2 linked regions of the Rattus norvegicus genome follow. The protein of the gene in region 1 interacts with the protein of each later gene in a pairwise test. Links are inferred from orthologs where the notes say so. Each region holds a gene or a part of one and is shown in the gene's direction. Other genes may lie near its edges.

Region 1 (8,375 bases):
TGAGAAACCTGATCTTAAAAACCAAGGGAGATACTGGGGATGAAGCTCAGGAGGTAGATTGCTTGCCTAGCATTTGTGAAGACTTGGGTTCGGTACCCAGCACTGCATAAACCAGGTATGGTGTGCTGACTTGTGATCTCAGCATTTGGGAGCTGGAGACAAGAAGATAAAGAGTTCAAGGTTATTCTCAGCTATCTGGAAAATCTGAGGCCAACCTGAGTTATATAAGACCTCTCAAAAATAAAATGAAGGGGTTGGGGATTTAGCTCAGTGGTAGAGCACTTGCCTAGCAAGCGCAAGGCCCTGGGTTCGGTCCCCAGCTCCGAAAAAAAGAAAAAAAAATGAAAAAACTGAGGTGGGTAGCCTGATGAATAAACTTGGGGTTGAATTTTAACTGCCCCTCCACTCTTACACACACACACACGTACACCCCATACATACAAACACAATCTCCCCCACATACACAAGCACACACACACCCTTATACACAAACATTCCTCCATACTCCCCTACAAACACTCCCCACAAACACACACACAAACAAACACATACACACCTACCCCTCGGGAGTGATGGCTAATACTAGTGGTCTCAAAATTTGTGAGGTGGAGGTAGGAGGGTCAGAAATACGAAATCAGCTTTGGCTATAGCCTTGGCTAGTTTAATGTCAGCTAGGGCTACATGAAACTCTATTGCACAAAATAAAAAAAGTACCTTTCTTTCTTTCTTTCTTTCTTTCTTTCTTTCTTTCTTTCTTTCTTTCTTTTGGATCTTGTGGCTTGGTCTATAATTGAGTGCCTTGCCAACAGCCAGGGCTGTAAAGGAATTTTAATCTAGCAACATGGCTGCTCTGGTAAGGGATCATACCCAAAGAAATAGGTCTATGTGATCTGGCTGGAACAGACACACCCTTAGTACACTCTTTTAATCCTTTTGGCTGGAATATAGATAAGCCCACAGGATACACCTTTAATTCCAAACAATGATGTCTAAATTGAAGGACTGACAAAATGATGAATCAAAGAAAGATTTGACAGAATGAGTCAGAGATAGTATATATATATATATATACCATAGTATATATACCTCCCATAAGAACAGACAGGAAAGAGGCTACTTAAGAACATTGCAGGGAGAGGAGTTGGATTGAGTTCAGTTGCATTTGGTGCAGTTCAGTTGAATGCAGTTCTGTCCAGTTTGTCAGTCAGTGAAGTCAGTGTAGTTCAGTTTATGGAGTTTAGAAGTTGTTTTCCCAAGCAGAACAATTCAGTCAGAAGCAGAAAGAAGCCAGTCTGAATCAACCAGCTTGTGGAGGTGTTTGAGCCAGACAGTCGAATTGAACCAGCTAGCCAGAATTCAGAAAGAGGTAGAAAGGGTGAACTTACTCAGTATGTCTTAGAGTTGAAATATTCTAGGCCTAGATTGAACAGATGGAGGCCTTCAAAGTTTGGGCTTGTAGAAGATTGGATTGTATGAGGGTTTGAAGCTTCCAGGGCTAGGCCTAGGGATAGTTAGATAAAAACACTCCCGGCTCAGCCCAAGTTGTGTATTCACACACCTTGGGTACAGCTCTCATCTCATCACTTCATCTGAGGAAATAAAAATGACAATTACACAGAGCTAGGAACTGAGGCCCTGAAACTCATGTAGTCCAGGATACCAGGATGGCCTCAAAGTCACAGAATTCTGCCTCCTCAGCTGGGAGAAAATGAATATACCACAACACTTTGCCTCTAAAAATGAGAGAGAGAGAGAGAGAGAGAGAGAGAGAGAGAGAGAGAGAGATTGATTTTGATGGGCAAGGTTGGTTGGATCCCAAAGAAGACCTGAAGTAGGATGAACACCCTGTTCTCTTGTAGGCACCCAATCTGGGCCCTAGTCTCTGAAGATCATGATGACGTATATGAACCCGGGACCTCACTATTCGGTCAATGCCTTGGCCCTGAGTGGCCCCAGTGTGGACCTGATGCACCAGGCTGTCCCATACTCAAGTAAGTGTGTTCTCCTTCTAACCTTCAGTCTGTCTTTTAAGAACCTCTGAGGTTCATTGCCCTCAGGAGAAAAAGCATTCCTGGGGTGGAGGGGGCAGTGGGAACTTGTACCAGCTCTATGTCCATTTGCAAAGGAGTTTGGTATTCCAGGCACTTTTACATGTTCCCCGGGAATTCAGAGGAGTAAATAGTCATGACATTGACTCCCTTTGGAGGGAGAAGAGGGAAAGGGAACTGGTCTGGAAGAAGAATCAGGAGGATTCCATCTCTTTGTAAAGCTTTTTCTTTTTCTCTTTTTGGAGTAGTGGTTGTTGGGCTGTAATCCAGGGCCTTGTGGCTTCTAGGTAGGCACATTAGCATGGAACTATGCCCCACCATAGCTGTAGTAGTCTAGGCAGGGGCTCTAACACTGAGCCACGCCCCCAGCTCCTCACTGGGGGATTCTAGGCAGGGGCTCTAACACTGAGCCACGCCCCCAGCCCCTCACTGGGGGATTCTAGGCAGGGGCTCTACCACTGAGCCACACCCCCAGCCCCTCTCTGGGGGATTCTAGGCAGGGGCTCTACCACTGAGCCACGCCCCCAGCCCCTCACTGGGGGATCCTAGGCAGGGGCTCTACCACTGAGCCACGCCCCCAGCCCCTCACTGGGGGATCCTAGGCAGGGGCTCTACCACTGAGCCACGCCCCCAGCTCCTCACTGGAGGATTCTAGGCAGGGGCTCTAACACTGAGCCACGCCCCCAGCCCCTCACTGGGGGATTCTAGGCAGGGGCTCTACCACTGAGCCACACCCCCAGCCCCTCTCTGGGGGATTCTAGGCAGGGGCTCTACCACTGAGCCACGCCCCCCAGCCCCTCACTGGGGGATTCTAGGCAGGGGCTCTAACACTGAGCCATGCCCCCAGCTCCTCACTGGGGGATTCTAGACAGGGGCTCTACCACTGAGCCACACCCTCAGCCCCTCACTGGGGGATTCTAGGCAGGGGCTCTACCAGTGAGCCACGCCCCCAGCCCCTCACTCTATATAACTGAGCATGTCCCAGCCTCCTGATTCAAGACTCTAGAGTGTTGAGATTTAAGTCCTTCACCATCATGCTCTACTATGATACATTATTATTTAACAGATCTCTCTCTCTCATTTGCCTTTCTCTTCTTTCTCTTCCTTTTTATTTCTTCCCTCTCTCACTCCCTTTCTTCCTTCATCCTTTCTTCTTTTCTTCCTTCTTTCCTCCCTCTCTTCCTCCCTCCCTTCCTTTCAACAGACTCTCACTATGTAGCCTTAGCCTGGAACTCACCATGTGGACCAGGTTTCTTTATAGATTGACAGAGTTCTGCCTGTTTCTGCCTCCTGAGTGCTGGAATTAAAGGCAGGAGCCACCTATCTAGCCTTTCTCTTTCTTTGAAGAACAAATAAAACACTATTTTTGCATGAAGGGTAGGGAGCAGGAGGGATGTTTGCCATGGCTCCCTTGTTGAGGTCTGAGCAACTTTTGGGAGTAGTTTTTTCCCTTCTATGTTGGGTCCCAGGGATTGAACTCAGGTCCTCAGGCTTGGTCACAAGTGTCTATACATGCTGCACCATCTTGCTGGCCCCCTTTTTCTTTTACATTAAGTTGAACCACTTTTATAAGCAGGAGTCATGGTTATTGATAACACCATGTCTCAACCAAATATATCTTAAGAGTATAAAAAGTTTCAAGAGACGGGCTGGAGAGATGGCTCAGCAGTTAAGAGCACTGACTGCTCGTCTAGAGATCCTCAGTTCAATTCCCTGTAACCACATGGTGGTTTACAACCATCTGTAATGGGATCTGATGTCCTTTTCTGGTGTGTTTGAAGACAACAACAGTGTACTCATGTACATAAAAAAATATTTAAAAAAGTCTCAAGAGGGGAGTCTGGTGCAGTGACTGTGCCCGCAGATATTTGGGAGGCTGAGGTAGGAGGATCTCTTGAGTCCATGATTTCAGGGCCAGTGTGGGCTATGTAGTGAAAGTCTGTTGTAATGAGAGAGAAGGGGAGGGAGAAAAGGGAGGGGAAGAGTAAAGGGAGGATAGAAGAGAGAGAAGGAGGAAGAGAGGAGGAAGGGCAGAGAGAGGAGGAGAAGGAAGAGAAGAAAGGGAAGGAGGGGTTAGGAATGAAACAGACAAAATGAGGGGCAAATCCAGTGAATGAATGATTGGAATACTTCTCTTAATTCCTCTGGGGACTGAGCCACCACTAGAAGGCCAGGGAATCAATCAAAGCCCCTTCTTTAGGCTGATGGATGTGCAGAAAGGACTTTGGGACAGGCATTCCTCTGTACCTCCTAGCCTCTAGCAAGCAGACCTAGCCCACCTGAGGTTCTTTTTTTTTTTTTTTTTTTTTTTTTTGGTCTTTTTTTCGGAGCTGGGGACCGAACCCACCACCTGAGGTTCTTTAATTTGCCCCCACTTAGGTGCCCCTAGGAAGCAGAGGCGGGAGCGGACCACGTTCACCAGGAGCCAGCTGGAGGAGCTGGAGGCCCTGTTTGCCAAGACCCAGTACCCGGATGTGTATGCACGTGAGGAGGTTGCTCTCAAGATCAACCTGCCTGAGTCCAGGGTCCAGGTAGGATGATCTGCTCCGTGGACCCCTTGAACCCTTACTGTAACCTTCTGTGGGCCCTTGTCAAATCCAGAGTGCATGAAGGAAAGAGGCCAAGGGTAGCATATTTATGAAATGGCCTAAATGCCCTTCACATTCCTTATATCACTCTTCTTATATGATGCCTTCTCACCACACTGTCCTCCAAGGGTTCTCCTTCCCTTTGTACTCTGTTTTCTTTCAGGGCCTCACATATGCACGTGACCTACCACTGAGATATATCATCATCTCTCTTGTTTTTTAATCTTAAAACTATTTATCTTGATATTTATGTATTTACATGTTTGTTTGTTTGTTTATTTATTTATTTTAGTTCAAGACAGGGTTCTTTTGTGTATGTAGCCTTGACTGTCCTGGAACTCACTCCATAGACGAGGCTCACAGAGATCTGTCTGCCTCTGCCTCCCGAGTTCTATGATTTAAAGGGGTATGCCACTGCTACTTGGCTAAAACTAATTTTGAGGCAACGGTCTTACTACGTAGACCAGTACCAGCAATCCACCTGCCTCTGGCTCCCAAATGCTGAGTGTGTGTGCATATTTTATTTTTAATTATGTTCATGTATGTGTCTGTGCACATGAGTGCAGTTATCATTTTAAAAAATTATTCTGGGGAGGGGCAAAAATTATTCTTTGATTTAGAAGAAGGGAAAGAAATATGGAAATGATGTATTATACTTTAGAAAAACTAAATAAGCAATAAAACTTTATTCTTTGGGTAATTTCATACATGGATACAATGAATTAAGGTCAGTTCTACTCTCTCTTTCCAATACCTCCAGGAGCCTCCTCCTCTTCCATTTCTCTTTTAGCTTCATTCATGTCCTTTTTGTTTTTCTTCTCTTCCTCCTCCTCTTCTTCCTCTTTTAAAACCCACTGGGTCAAGTTTGTGCTGCTTATATGTGCATGGGAGTGGCACCATCCACTTGAGCATTGGCACTGGGAGACAGAGTCTCACTAAGTCACACAGGCTGGCTTTGAACTTACTTTGCAGCTCAGGCAAACCCTGATCTTCATATCTTCTTGCTTCAACCTCCTGAAGAGCAAGGATCACAACAGGTCTGTGCTATTAAGCCTAGCTTCAGAGGACTTGTTTCATCATCACGGTTATTGAGCAACAACCAGTCAATTAATCAAGTCATCTTATAAATCAAGGAGACTCACATGGATCACAGTGCTTTAAATTTCAAACTGAAATGCCAGTTTTTGGCTGAAATGCTACCTCGTATCCATCTTACTTGACAGCTTCTTTCAGTCCGACCAGTTCTAGAATACCACACTAAACATGCTAGGCTCACACCTGTAGCCTCAGCATTTGAGAGGCTGAGGCAGGAGGATTGCTTTGAGCTTGAAGACAGTCTTGCTACCTAGAGTGAGCCTCCACCCCAACTGTATGGCTTACCCACTTAGGCCAACAGTAATATTCCTCACCAGAGTAGAATACTAACCCCTCTGATGTTCCCTTTAAGCAATAAAGGCTGGGTGGTACATGATTATTAGGTGACTGAGAGGATTAGTGGGTAAGAGAAATGTGTGTGTGTGTGTGTGTGTGTGTGTGTGTGTGTGTGTGTGTGTGTGTTCTGCAGTGTGGGGGATTGAACCCAGAGCCAGGCAAATGCTCTACAACTAAGCTACATCTCTAGCTTTGGTATTGTTATATCTATATGTAAAATTAAGTGCGTGCATGCTATGAAATTAGCTGATGAGAATATGTATATATGTGTACTTATGCACAGATATATGATTGCATGTATGATATGTGAATATAATGCATGTATGATTACATATACATAGTCATGAGTAAGGAGCATGTTAATATAATGTGTTCATATGTGCATGACTATATGTATGATATGTCAATATAATGCATGCATTCATAAGCAGAAACACATAAATATATGTTCATATGTATACGATTGCATATATGGACAATGCATAATTGTATACATATTCATGGGATCAGGTGGGTGTCAATGCATATAGGTATGTATGTGTGACTGCATACATATTATGTGAGAATAATGTATGATTGTATGCATGCATACGTGATCAATCAGGTAAGTAGATGATGCATGACAACTGATAAATGCATGTACGTATGATTGCATGTTTCAAATGTGTGTGATCAGTGCATGTAGGTTGCTGTGTGCATGTGTACATGCATGATTGGATAGGTACACAGATCATGGACAGAGTTGCCCTATCATTGGATGTAGAGTGGTGATGTGTGGGTCTTACCATCAACTTTGTCTTCTTTTGGCATGTAGGTTTATCCCCCCTCTCCCCATATTTCCTCTCTCTATCTAGGTCTGGTTCAAGAATCGCAGGGCGAAATGCAGACAGCAGAGGCAGCAGCAGAAACAGCAGCAGCAGCCCCCAGGGGTACAAGCCAAGGCTCGTCCTGCGAAGAGGAAGGCAGGCACATCCCCGAGACCCTCTACAGATGTTTGTACAGATCCTTTGGGCATCTCAGATTCCTACAGCCCATCTCTGCCTGGTCCCTCAGGTTCACCTACCACAGCAGTGGCCACCGTATCCATCTGGAGTCCGGCCTCAGAGTCTCCTTTGCCTGAGGCCCAGAGAGCTGGCCTAGTGGCTTCAGGGTCCTCTCTCACCTCAGCCCCTTATGCCATGACCTATGCCCCTGCTTCTGCTTTCTGTTCTTCACCTTCAGCTTATGCATCTCCAAGCTCCTATTTCAGTGGGTTGGATCCATACCTTTCTCCCATGGTGCCCCAGCTAGGGGGTCCGGCTCTCAGCCCCCTCTCGGGCCCCTCTGTGGGGCCATCCTTGGCCCAGTCCCCCACCTCCTTGTCAGGCCAGAGCTATAGCACCTACAGCCCCGTGGACAGCCTGGAATTCAAGGACCCTACAGGCACCTGGAAATTCACCTACAATCCCATGGACCCTCTGGACTACAAAGATCAGAGTGCCTGGAAGTTTCAGATCTTGTAGAAGAGGCTTCATATTCTCCCTTCCAGCGGAATCACCCTCTCTGGACTCCGGCTGCCACCTCCTGCTTAGATTCCAGGAGAGTAGCTCTCAGCAAGCATCAGCAAGTAGCAATCCTGCCAAAGGCTGTGAAAAATTCAGCCCCAGGTGTAGGCCACCCTCAGCTCCATTAGAGTTTAACCCCTTTACCACCTACCCCAAGCAATGAAAGGGACTTCCTCTCCCAAGACAGTCCAGCAGCAACCAGTAGATAGCATGACCGATGTGTATATCTGATGCTTTCCCCAGTCTTCAGTAAAGGTGCTGAGAACTTGCTCTGGAGAGAAAGAAAATCTGTCTCGCAAGTGACTTGGAGAATGTTTGGGTTAGAACTCCTGGTACCCTAAGCCAGATGTGGTGACTCAATGTTCATAATCCCAGCATGGAAGAAGCTGAGGCAGGTGGATTGTGGGAACTTGAGGCCAGCTTGGACTATGAAGTGAGACCTCTAAATTCGTTTGGAAAATTTATACAGTTAAAGATCAGGTTTACATGGTAGGTTTAGGAGATTGTTCATTTGGACATGTATATATGATTTATGTGCCTGTATGTACGTTACAGGCATGAGCCACCAAACTGCACTGGGATGCTGTGGCTTGTATAAAATCAAAATGCAGAAGAAGCTTGATGTAAATATTGGGGAGGACTTGAAAGATAAATAGAATGTTCTAGAGCCCAAGGTGCCTCAGTCAGAGATCCCTAGGGTCAGATTGAGGGAGCACAAGTGATGAAGTCTTTCAGATGCCTATAGGAGTTGAATCGGGTAGAGG
Region 2 (10,374 bases), on another chromosome or scaffold:
ACAGCTGCTGCTGACCATTGTTGGGAAATTGGGGCTACAGACTGTAGGTCATCAACAGATTTCCTTACTATATAGAGACTACCCATAAATTCTGTGACTCCAGAGAACCCAGTGGGTCACAACCATCTGTAATGGTGTCCTCTTCTGGTGTGCATGAAGACAGGGACAATGTAACTCATATACACAAAACAAATGTATGTGGCTTGGAACTGAACTTGAGTCTTCTTGGAAGAGCATTGAGTTCTTAACTGCCGAGCCATCTCTCTAGCACACTGTTTCTCAGTCTTCCTAGTGTTGCAACCCTTTAACACAGCTCCTCATGTTGTGGGGACCCCAACCATAAAATTACTTTGTTGCTACTTCACAACCTAATTGTAATATAACTATCCAATATACAGGATATGTGATATGCTACCTCAAAGGGATTGTGACCCACAGGTTGAGAACCTCTTGCATGTCTCTTCCATTTAAAAAACATTTAGTGGTGTGTGTGTGTGTGTGTGTGTGTGTGTGCATGTGTGTGTTTATGTATGTGTGAGTGTGTGTGTATGTGTGTGTTGTGAGTCTGTGTATGTGTGTGTATATGTGTGTGTCTGTGTGTCTGTGTGTATATGTGTGTGTATGTGTGTCTGTGTGTGTATGTATGTGTACGTGTGTGTGAGTGTGTGGGTATGTGTGTGTGAGTGTGTGTGTTTATGTATGTGTGAGTGTGTGTCTGTGTGTGTATGTGTGTGTGTTGTGAGTCTGTGTATGTGTGTGTATATGTGTGTGTATGTGTGTGTTGTGAGTCTGTGTATGTGTGTGTATATGTGTGTGTATGTGTGTGTCTGTGTGTGTATGTATGTGTATGTGTGTGTGAGTGTGTGTGAGTGTGTGTGAGTGTGTGAGTGTGTGTGTGTCTATGTGTGTGGTGTGTGTGTGTCTCTGTGTGTGTATGTATGTGTGTAGGTGTATGTGTGTGTGTAGGTGTGTGTGTCTATGTGTATGTCTCTGTGTGTGTATGTGTGTGTGAGTGTGTGTGTCTGTGTGTGTATGTATGTGTGTGTCTATGTGTGTGGTGCATGTGTGTATGTGTGTGTAGGTGTGTGTGTCTATGTGTATGTCTATGTGTGTGTGTGTGTGGTATGTGTGTATGTGTGTGTGTGTGTGTGTGTGTGTGTGTGTGTGTGTGTGTGTAGTGAGCTGTTCTGTAGCTGGAGTCACCTAGCTCGTCACCTGAATGCTGGGATCAGAACTCCAGTCCTCACGGTTGCACACCAAATGCTCCCACCTGCTGAGCCATCTCTCCAGCCCCTATTTTATCTGTTTTGATTCTAAAATAATATTGCATTGTATAGGTAGATCATATTTTATCACATAGCCATCATTGGGTGGGCCTTTTGTCTTTTCCTGCCCGTTGGCTGCCATGGATAAAAATAATATGAATATTTGTCATATTAGTGAAGACAGTTTCATTTCTCTCCAGTTCACACAGGAGTGGACTTTCTGGACTATCTGCTGACACATCTAATCTTTTCTTTTTCTTTTCTTCTCCTCTCTTTTTTTACTCTTCTTTTGGGACAGAGCTTTATGTAGCCCAGGCTGGCTTCATACTTCACTGTTCGGTGGAAGGTGGGAAGGTGACCTTGAACTCCTGATCTTTCTCCCTCCATCTCTCAAATCCTGAGATTGTAAATCGTGGCACATGGTGCCTCCTTGCCCTGTTTTTAACTGAGCTCTCTTTTTATTCCTGAGCTGTAGAGTTCCTTATATATTCTAAACCCCTTACCAGATATAGATATAAGCATTCTCCCACCCCACCCCATTCTGTAGGTCCTTATTGGTTGACTGGCGGTTACCATAACAAAATATCCTGGACTGATGGCTTAAACTGCGGAGATCCATTTTGATTGGTTGTGTAGGCTGAAGTCTGAGATGAAAGCTGGTAGACTTGGGAGCCAGGAGGAGTGGCCACATGTCTACACCTTAGCATTAGAAAAGCAGGGAGGAGGATCTGGAGTTCAAGACCAGCCTTGGCCAGATAGCATGTTCCAGGCTAGCCTGAGCTATAGAGTGAAACTGTATAGAGTAAAACTCCAGAAGCAAGTAGGTTAGTTTTCTGGTCCATTTTAAAGTTATTTCTGTTTGTGGTGTGAGGTGGGGGTAGGCTTCCTCCTTTGGCACGGGGCTCAGTTTCCCCGGAGCCATTTATTAAAGACTGTTCCTTCTCCATTGAGCTGGCGCTCCTATGAAAGGGGGCTGGCTGCAGATGCAGAACCTACCTTCCATCCGGAGTCTCAGTTTCGTTTCATCTGCCTGTACGTTTATCCTTACAGTTTTACCACATTGTTTTGATTGCTGTAGCTTCCTGGTAGGATTGAAATGAGGAAGCAGGGGTCCTCTGAGTACAGTCTGCCTTCCCTTTGGGTGTATAGTAGTGTGAGAGATGCCAGTGAACGGTACAACGCCCAGTTTTGGAACCCCCTACTCCGGTAAAGACTCTGTTTCCGGGAACCAGGCTCTAAGTTCAGTGCGCCCTAGAAGAGATACATGGTTTCCCGCCCACTCCCCCCCACAGCTCTTGATGGAAACATTCTGCTGAGAACAATGCCCCCCTGGGTTATTTTAAACTTCACTCGGAGCCTTCTCCACCTGCTCTGCCGTCTCTAATTGCTCCAGAATCAGCGTCATTCACAACTGGATTATTAATGAACTGAGGGGGAGCCTGGGGGCATAGGAAAGAGGACTTCAGACTTGGGGGAGACTTAGAAGGACCCAACCTGAGGTGGGTTCTGTTGTTTTGAGACAAGGTCTCATGTGTCCATAGCCTGGCCTCAAATTCATACGTACGCCTCAGAGCTGGAATTACACGCGTTTGCCACCACACTTGGTACTGATACCCACTCAGGGTACTGGGGATTGAGCCCAGAGTTTTGTGCTGCTGCACAAGCACTCTATCTACTGAGCTATATTCCCTTACTCAACCCACAGGGTTTTGCTCCTCCAAGAAAAATAACTGAATGTATTGAGCAAATAGGAAATCGGGCAGGGAGTAGTGGCACACACTTTTAATCCCAACACCAAGGAGGTAGAGGCCGCAGGATCTCTGTGAGTTTAAGGCCAGCCTGATCTACATAGTCCATTCCGGGCCAGCCAGGGCGCTTAGTGAGATCCTGTCTTAAAACAAAAAGGAAACCAATACATTTAGACAGTGCTCCTGGCTTTATGAGTTTTATCGCGAGTGTTTCAAACAGGATTACCGAGGATCCCCGAGATCTAAATTGTGAATCTTTTCTCGTTGCTTTCCCAGCTGGTTAGCCCTGGGTGCCTCTGGCTCTAATCTGGAGGCTGGGAAAGTGCAGGGAACAAAGCCCTTTGTGGAAAAGAGAACCCCATTGTTCCAAAGTCAGCTTTCAGGGAATGTGGATTCCAGAAAATGTTTGGGATGGGATTTTTCTCTTTGTCCACTTTCTCCCCTCTCCCTGGGGGGAGGAGCAATTTAAAGGAGCAACTTTCAAAATTAAATTAAACAGAGTTAAACCCATTGCCCTCAGGGAAAGCACACACTGCAGGGTCTTCTGTCCAGCAGCTGCCTTCGTTACATGACAGAAACCCAGGGGGTTTGGGTCTTGTTCTTAGCAGGAAACCTCAAGGAAGCAGCTGGGTCTAGATCCTCTGCACCTCAGCCGGTGACAGACATCAGCCTAGGCACGACCACTTCCTTCCTGGAATCCACGTCACAGGCCACAGTCTGTTGCCTTTTCTCAGCTAAAAGACCTATCTATATAGCCCTGTCCTCTAGATAAGGCCTGGCCAAGTTCGTGATATTTGGAGAGCCTTCTGACTCAAGCTTAACGTGGGAAGTTGACTTTCGGGCACTGACCCCATTCTGTGCCACTATAGGTAGGTTATTTTCCCTTTCTGGGCCTCACTGGGTCTGCCTGTCAAATGGGAATAAAATACCACCCTGTCTACTCCTTGTCTGTACTGGAGGTTAGGGGTGGGGCACAGTCAAGGAGAGCTATTCTGAAGACCGGCTGTGTCTCAGCTGCTTCCAAATTCCTGCAGCTCAGAAAAGGGGTCTTCATCCCGAGGGTGCTAAGACCTAGACCTTCTTGTTGCGTGGTGACAAGCCCCTTGGGCCTGCTCGGGCCCACCCCTTTCCAGAGAGCTTAGGCTCCGCCTTAGGGGAGGAGTCAAGAGGCGGCGCGGTGGCTCGCTACCAAGCAGAGCTGGCTCTGTCGCCGCACCACCAGCTGCGGCTCTGGGACCTGCGGATTGAGCCGGGGCTGGGAGCCGCCCGGGGCAGGGCTCGAGAGAGCGGGTGAGTTGAGTGGCGCCGCATTCCTCTCTGCACTCTGCGGATCCGGCAGGTGTCTCGGCCCCTTCCAGTCTGGCTGCTGGAGAGGGGTGCCTTGGCCAAGGGAGGGTGGCTTAAGATAATTGGGGAGGGGGGGTGCGGTGACGGTGGGATGTGCTGGAAAGGTACCGAGGGTGCGAGGCCGGGGAGTTGGGCCACTGTCTCCCACGTCTCGCCTTCGGATGGGGAGGCTGGTCTACGTAGAGGGTGCATTGGCAGGTTGTCGACCAGGGCTGCAATGAGTGGATTTTGGGGGGCGATGTGAGGTCCGTGGTCTGTCTGGGCTACTGTCTGCCAGGGTTACAAGGCTGGGTGGTGAAGCTACAGAACACCAGACGCCCTGGGCACGCGGTCTAGGAGCCGGGCATGGGGGCGCCGCCCCCTCGCGTGGCGGCGCTTGGTCTGGGCAAGCAGCAGCAGCGCGCTGAGAGCGTTGCTCCCGGGGTGGGAAAAGTCCCGGAGGCTGGTGTCCCTGTGGACAAACCTGACCCAGGGCGGGATCTCCACCCCTAGAGCCTGTGGGTCGGTCTCGGTAGCCCCCGGCGTGGTGATTCCCCAGAAGGGATGCTCCCGGCCTCTCTGCCCGCCGCCTTAGGCGCGAGCTGCGGATCCCCGCGCCCGGAGCGCTCCACTCCTCGCGAGTCCCGCGCATCCGCTCCCGCAGGGAACAGCGCCCCCGAGCGCCCAAGATGTGCAGAAACGGCGCAGCCCTGCCCCAGAGGTCGACTGAGGGGTCTCCCACAAGGTCACGCTGAGCGCCCAGATCGCCCCGAGTGGGAACCAGGAGCGGGAGGCGCTCCTACCCGCCTCCGGGGTGGATGCGGACTCTCTTTCCTCTGCGCTCCCCTCCCAGCCCTGCCTCCTGCTTTACGGAAGATGCTGCTGATGCAGCTTCCAGTCCCGGGCATCGGATAATCGGGTCTCTAGGTGAGCTGTGACTATGGCCCTCTCTGCAAGCCAGCGGGGCGCCGCCACCACGGGCCAGGCCTGGGAGCCTTTGCTCCCCCTGGAATCTGAAGAGCAGGGGGAACAGAGATGAGGCTGCACAGCGCTTAGAACGGAAAGCCGATGCTTGCGCGCCCATGTGATTACACTGCTCATAAAGGGCTCCTGTTCTTGCTGTCAGAGGCGCCCACCAGCTCCTGGCGGCCGGGAGCACCAGGTGCGGCCTGTGAATCGCCCTCTGTGGAAGACCCGGAGCCCAATAGTGCCAGGCGCTGTTTCCCTCCAGGCTATCTGAGGAAGGAGCTGGCGGTCGCCCCGGGCCCTCGGGAGTATGGGGGCGGGGGGGGGGCACTTCCCTGTGCGCCTTATCCTGCCATTTCCTGCAGCCAGTAAGGTACCAGAGGAGAACCGACCTCCGTTGGGAGGGAGATCTTCTTTCCAGGCTGAGCTCAGCACAACTCAGCCGACGACTTGCTGTCTGCTCACGGTTCCCCATCTCCATAGATCTCTAAGAAGTGGGGTGAATGGTCGCTATAGGGTAAGTGAGAGAGGCCTCACGTGAAGCTCTTGGTGCATCAGAGCATCATGGATGACCCTGCTAGGCAAACCCGCCTTCAGTGAGGGTTTGAGCGAGGCGTGTCCCCTAGCGAGGCGCAGAAGTGGAGCCCTGGTGGGTGGTTCTGCAGGGGCTGGGATGTGGGGTTCCACTTTTCCTCCTTCAGTTATGTCACAAAGAGCCAGCTTGTAGGAGGCGGTAGGGACCGGTGACTGCTTTCATCGTGCTGCCTGCTTGCAAGGCCTTTCCCACTCACATTCTCACCACCTTCTCTCCCACCTGTCACCCAAATCCCATCTTCTCTGCCCCAGTCCTTGGGACGCTGTGGGCAAGATGCCAACCAGACCACTCTGTCAAGTGGAGTCTACCTCCCATTGCCCCTGTCCCCCAACCCCCCCAACTCTTCTCAACCTTTGGAAATGGCTTCCTTAAAAAAAAAAAAACCTTTTGGTTTCAAACTGATCCTCACTTGTGGCTTAGATGTCACAGACCACTTGGGAAAGTCCCCTTGCAATGGGACAATTCAGCCAAGTCTAGACTTCCTGGTTTAGAAGGACCAGGTAAGTAAGGCCAGCGTTTGGTGCCCACACAGACTTTGTACTCTGTGTTCGTGGAGCCCGGGAGCCAGAGGAGCAGAGGTTAAATTCTAATCTTGCTGTTGGTGTTTTCATGAGCCACAGAGCCAGGGGAAGCTGAGGCAGGGAAATGGTTTTCTTTAAGGCTATATGTTTCCTATAGAGCGCCTTTGAGCCAACTACTTGTCCTGTCTTGTGAAAATTTAGTACTAGAGCCTCAGGGAACTTGCTCCAACCAGCAGCAACCACGTGGACACAGGGCAGCAGATTGCAATGGTGGCCTGGATTCAAGTGCTGGGTTTTGATCCCCAAGACACCCTCTCTTGCGGACCTTACCCCTCTCCCATCCCAGCACCCTGTGCTCCCAGCCCCCATGCTTGTTATGCTATGGCAGACAGTGGGTCTCAATGGACATTCCAGACGAGGACTGCCCTTGTCTCAACACATCTTAGAAATCAGCTTCGGGGGAGGGGGAAGCATGCACAAGCCTCTCACGGCCTGAAGTATCAAAACTCAAGGAAGCAGAATGAGTCTAGTTGAAATGACAGCTCTGAGCTGAAAAAAGCTTGGGACTCTGTGTAAAAAGCTCTTTCCAGCCCCTCCCCCTTTCTCTTCTGGGTGATAAGAATCCCATCGTGGTCATCCCCACTGGGCTCTAAGGACCCCTCGAGACCATAGATCATAGATGTGCTTAATGGGGATGCTGGAAGGCAGGCAGAAGGGACTTTTGTTGGTGACACCTGTTTCTTTCTTTCCTCGGGTCCTCGTAGATCTTGCTCCCTCCCGGGCTACAGGGACGTAATACTTCTGCTTTCAGTTCTGGGGATACAGAACGCCTCTTAGCCTGTCTCTTGGGCAATGTCCTGGGAATTGGGAATCCTTCTGCAGGGAATCCTTTCTCCGGGGCCCTGTGTACAGACCTTGCACTTAGCAAGGGGTTGCCATAACCAAGGTCGCTCTGGGGGTTCTCATCTCAGGGGAGAGGCAGGCCTGCAGACAGAGGGTCTGGTGCAGTCAAAGCTTCCATAATAAGAAGTGGGAACTGAGGGCACAGGAAATGCCAGGTTTGAACCATCACACTGTGCTGGACGGACAGAATCCTTTCCCTCTCAAAGAGGTAAAGTGAGCAGGAGAGATGCTATGGGTGAGGATTTAGCTCAGGGCTGTCCCTGGATGAATAAATGTTCACAGATGTTAGTTGCTATTATTATTAGTCTATTATTACCAATAACAGGTGGGCCACACTTATTGCGGGAGCACATTTGATCTCTTTGGTGGTAATTTTCCCAGGCAGTGGGCAATGGAGGGAGGGATGGGCACCCGTGCACGGAGAACTGCGTGCGTGCGTACAGGCTGGAAAGCTCTGGGTGGGAGCCGTGGGTGGGAGTCGCTGCTGGAACTCAGTCAACAGTGTAATGCAGGTCCCGGTAGGAAGGCCAGGGAAGGAGTCAGAGGTCATCCTGCCAGGGGCTGTGCACGGTTAAATGCTCGCTGACCCGAAGCAGCCTTGTCAGTTTTGCAGCTCTCTGCAAAAGGTTGCCTGACTGTAGTTACCCAGGAAAGAGCAGGATTAATTTCTGCACGGGAGGAAGAGCAGGGCTACTTTTATACCAAAGGGTTCTCTCTATTCCTTCTCAGTCTCTTTTAGCAAGCATAAAGCTTTCTCTCCTCCTTCCCTCTGCCTGACAGGGTCCCCCATGCCAAAGTCTTCAAAAATGTTCCATGCCTGCTCGTCATGGTTGAATACGTATGTAATCTCAGCACTCAGAAGGTCAGGAGGCAGGAGGATAGCCATTTTAGGGATAGCCTGGGCTACATGGTGAGACCTTGAATGAAGAAAAAAAAAAGATGCTGTGTGCTGTCCTGTATGCGTTTCGTAAATCTCTAAGCTGGCTGCACAGTGTTTGGTTTCTGACTTTGTGTGCCCCTGGGTGCCGAGTGGTAGGTGGATCACCCTACGGTATGCTCCTGGAACCTGCCCTGACTTTTGGGAAATTCCTGAGTGCAGGTGACTGTGGGGGGAGGTGTTCCTGGATGTCTCAGAATCCAGGATGGCATTCCACTAGAGTCCCACAGATGTGCTTCTATGCGGGTAGTTTGTAGCTTGATTGATGGGGCAGGTGGTGACCAAACCCTAAGCTGGCCCCAGGGAGGAATGAGTCTTTTAGGATGACTGCTCAGAATATCGTGTGACTATAGATCCTGCCTATAGACAGGAGGCGTTCGAGCACATGCTTAACTGTTTGTTTTTCCATGATGACTGTTTAAGTTTAGGGGTTTGAATTCTGATCCTGCTTTCCGCCAGTTTTTGGACCTTGGGCAATGGTTCCGTTTCCGTGGGCCCCCAATTTCTCCATCTGGAAACCCAGACCATATATATTGAATATATAACGCACATATAAAGAATTCTGAGTTCTCCTAAGGATTTTGATCCGATGTAGAGTGATGGGTTTCTAAGGTTTTGTGTGTGTGTGTGTGTGTGTGTGTGTGTGTGTGTGTGTGTCACTATGTACTGAGGCTCTCCTTGAACTCTCAGTCCTCCTATTTCAGCCTGGGTTCTGGGGTTATAGGGGTGCACCCCTCTGTGTGATGTAGCTTCTAAGCTGTTCATGATATTGGTACAATGTCCACTGAATTTTCATCCATGGCTCTGTTTGTACCATACCTAGAGTTACATAATAATCATTCTTCTTTTAGTTTCCTTTTTAAATTATTTAGTTTTTTTTTTTTTTTTTTTAGATTTACTTACTTGATTTTGTGTGCATGAGTGTTCGCCTGATTCTATATGTGCACCACAGATGTGCCTGGTGCTAGCAGAAGTCAGAAGGGAACATTGGATCCCCTGCAACTGGAGTTACAGATGGTTGTGAGCTAGCGTGTGGGTGCTGGGAATCAAACCTGGATCCTCTTTCCGGGCAAACAGCGTTCTCAACAGCTAAGCCATCTTTGCTGTTCCCTAGTCTTCTATTTCATTCACTAGACCCACAGTTCTCAGTTGTGAACAGTTCTGGCCAGTGTCTAGAGGTGTCTCTGTTTGTCAGAGCCAGCTAGGAGGGACCTGGAGAAGACGTGGCCTCTAGTGCCTCGAGACCAGGAAGGCTATGGGATATTCTGCAGTGCATAGCACAGCCCCTCACAGCAAAAAATTCCAGGCTCCCAAACGTGAATAGCATCAAGGCTGAGATGGGTTACACTCGACCTTGTGTCCTCTGAGGTCAGTGGCTGTATCTAATTCATTCAGCTGTGTCCCCGGTTGTCAGAGCCAGGGAGACAATCCACATACATTAAAAGAATGAATGAGAACTTGGAAGGCCTCGTGCACCCTGGAGTCCCGGGGGTTTGGCTTACAGGATGATTTGAATGGGCAGGAGAGAGATGAGTCTGCAGGACAACAGCCACTTGGTAATTCAGACCAAAGGCTGTCAGAGCATGCCTACTATTTTCCTTTGGACAGGTGCACGGGGGCCTGGATCAGCTGGATCACGGCTGTATTACTGCTGCGTTTGCTTGTGCCAGACACGAGGCCCATCTAGATCCTCAGGTGGGCTGGGAAAAGGGGCCATAGGTGCTAACAAGGAACACCCTGTCAGCTGAGCTCTCGGGATCTGCTAGGCTGGGGCGTAGCTGCCGTCAGCTTCCTGTTTTTTTCCCTTTCTGGTGGAATGAAGGAAACCCACTGAATGGCTGTTTTTCCACTGACATTTACAGCAATGTGATAGGCCTTGGATTAATGAGGTCAAGCTACAGTGTGAAATCTACCCGATAACTTGGAACCTGGCCAGCAGGAAGACATGCTTGTTTTCTTGGGGCTGTTTGATGTTTGTGAATGGCTTTGGGCAGGAAGCAGGGGTTATAACTGCTCAAGAGAGGGGTGTGCTTTATGCCCTGGGATTGTGGAGCTCGGTACTGCCCCTTTTCCTAATTTACTGGAAAAGCTTATTTTAATGTGGACTTTGAAA

The links.
Region 2: the proteins of Crx (region 1) and Ppp1r16b interact in binary tests that used the Homo sapiens proteins (3 or more experiments, as listed by UniProt). The two-hybrid records come from large-scale screens. The link is inferred for Rattus norvegicus from reciprocal best matches to the Homo sapiens genes CRX and PPP1R16B.

Annotation. Positions count from the first base shown.
Region 1 is NC_086019.1:85,667,494-85,675,868, reverse strand, and holds the end of Crx (cone-rod homeobox protein), read left to right. Parts: intron 1-1,859; 5' UTR 1,860-1,891; coding exon 1,892-1,991; intron 1,992-4,427; coding exon 4,428-4,579; intron 4,580-6,921; coding exon 6,922-7,569; 3' UTR 7,570-7,898; downstream 7,899-8,375. UniProt on the Homo sapiens protein: Transcription factor that binds and transactivates the sequence 5'-TAATC[CA]-3' which is found upstream of several photoreceptor-specific genes, including the opsin genes.
Region 2 is NC_086021.1:167,739,768-167,750,141, forward strand, and holds the start of Ppp1r16b (protein phosphatase 1 regulatory inhibitor subunit 16B), read left to right. Parts: upstream 1-4,223; 5' UTR 4,224-4,303; intron 4,304-4,459; exon of another isoform or gene 4,460-5,266; intron 5,267-5,654; exon of another isoform or gene 5,655-5,822; intron 5,823-5,877; exon of another isoform or gene 5,878-10,374. UniProt on the Homo sapiens protein: Regulator of protein phosphatase 1 (PP1) that acts as a positive regulator of pulmonary endothelial cell (EC) barrier function. Involved in the regulation of the PI3K/AKT signaling pathway, angiogenesis and endothelial cell proliferation.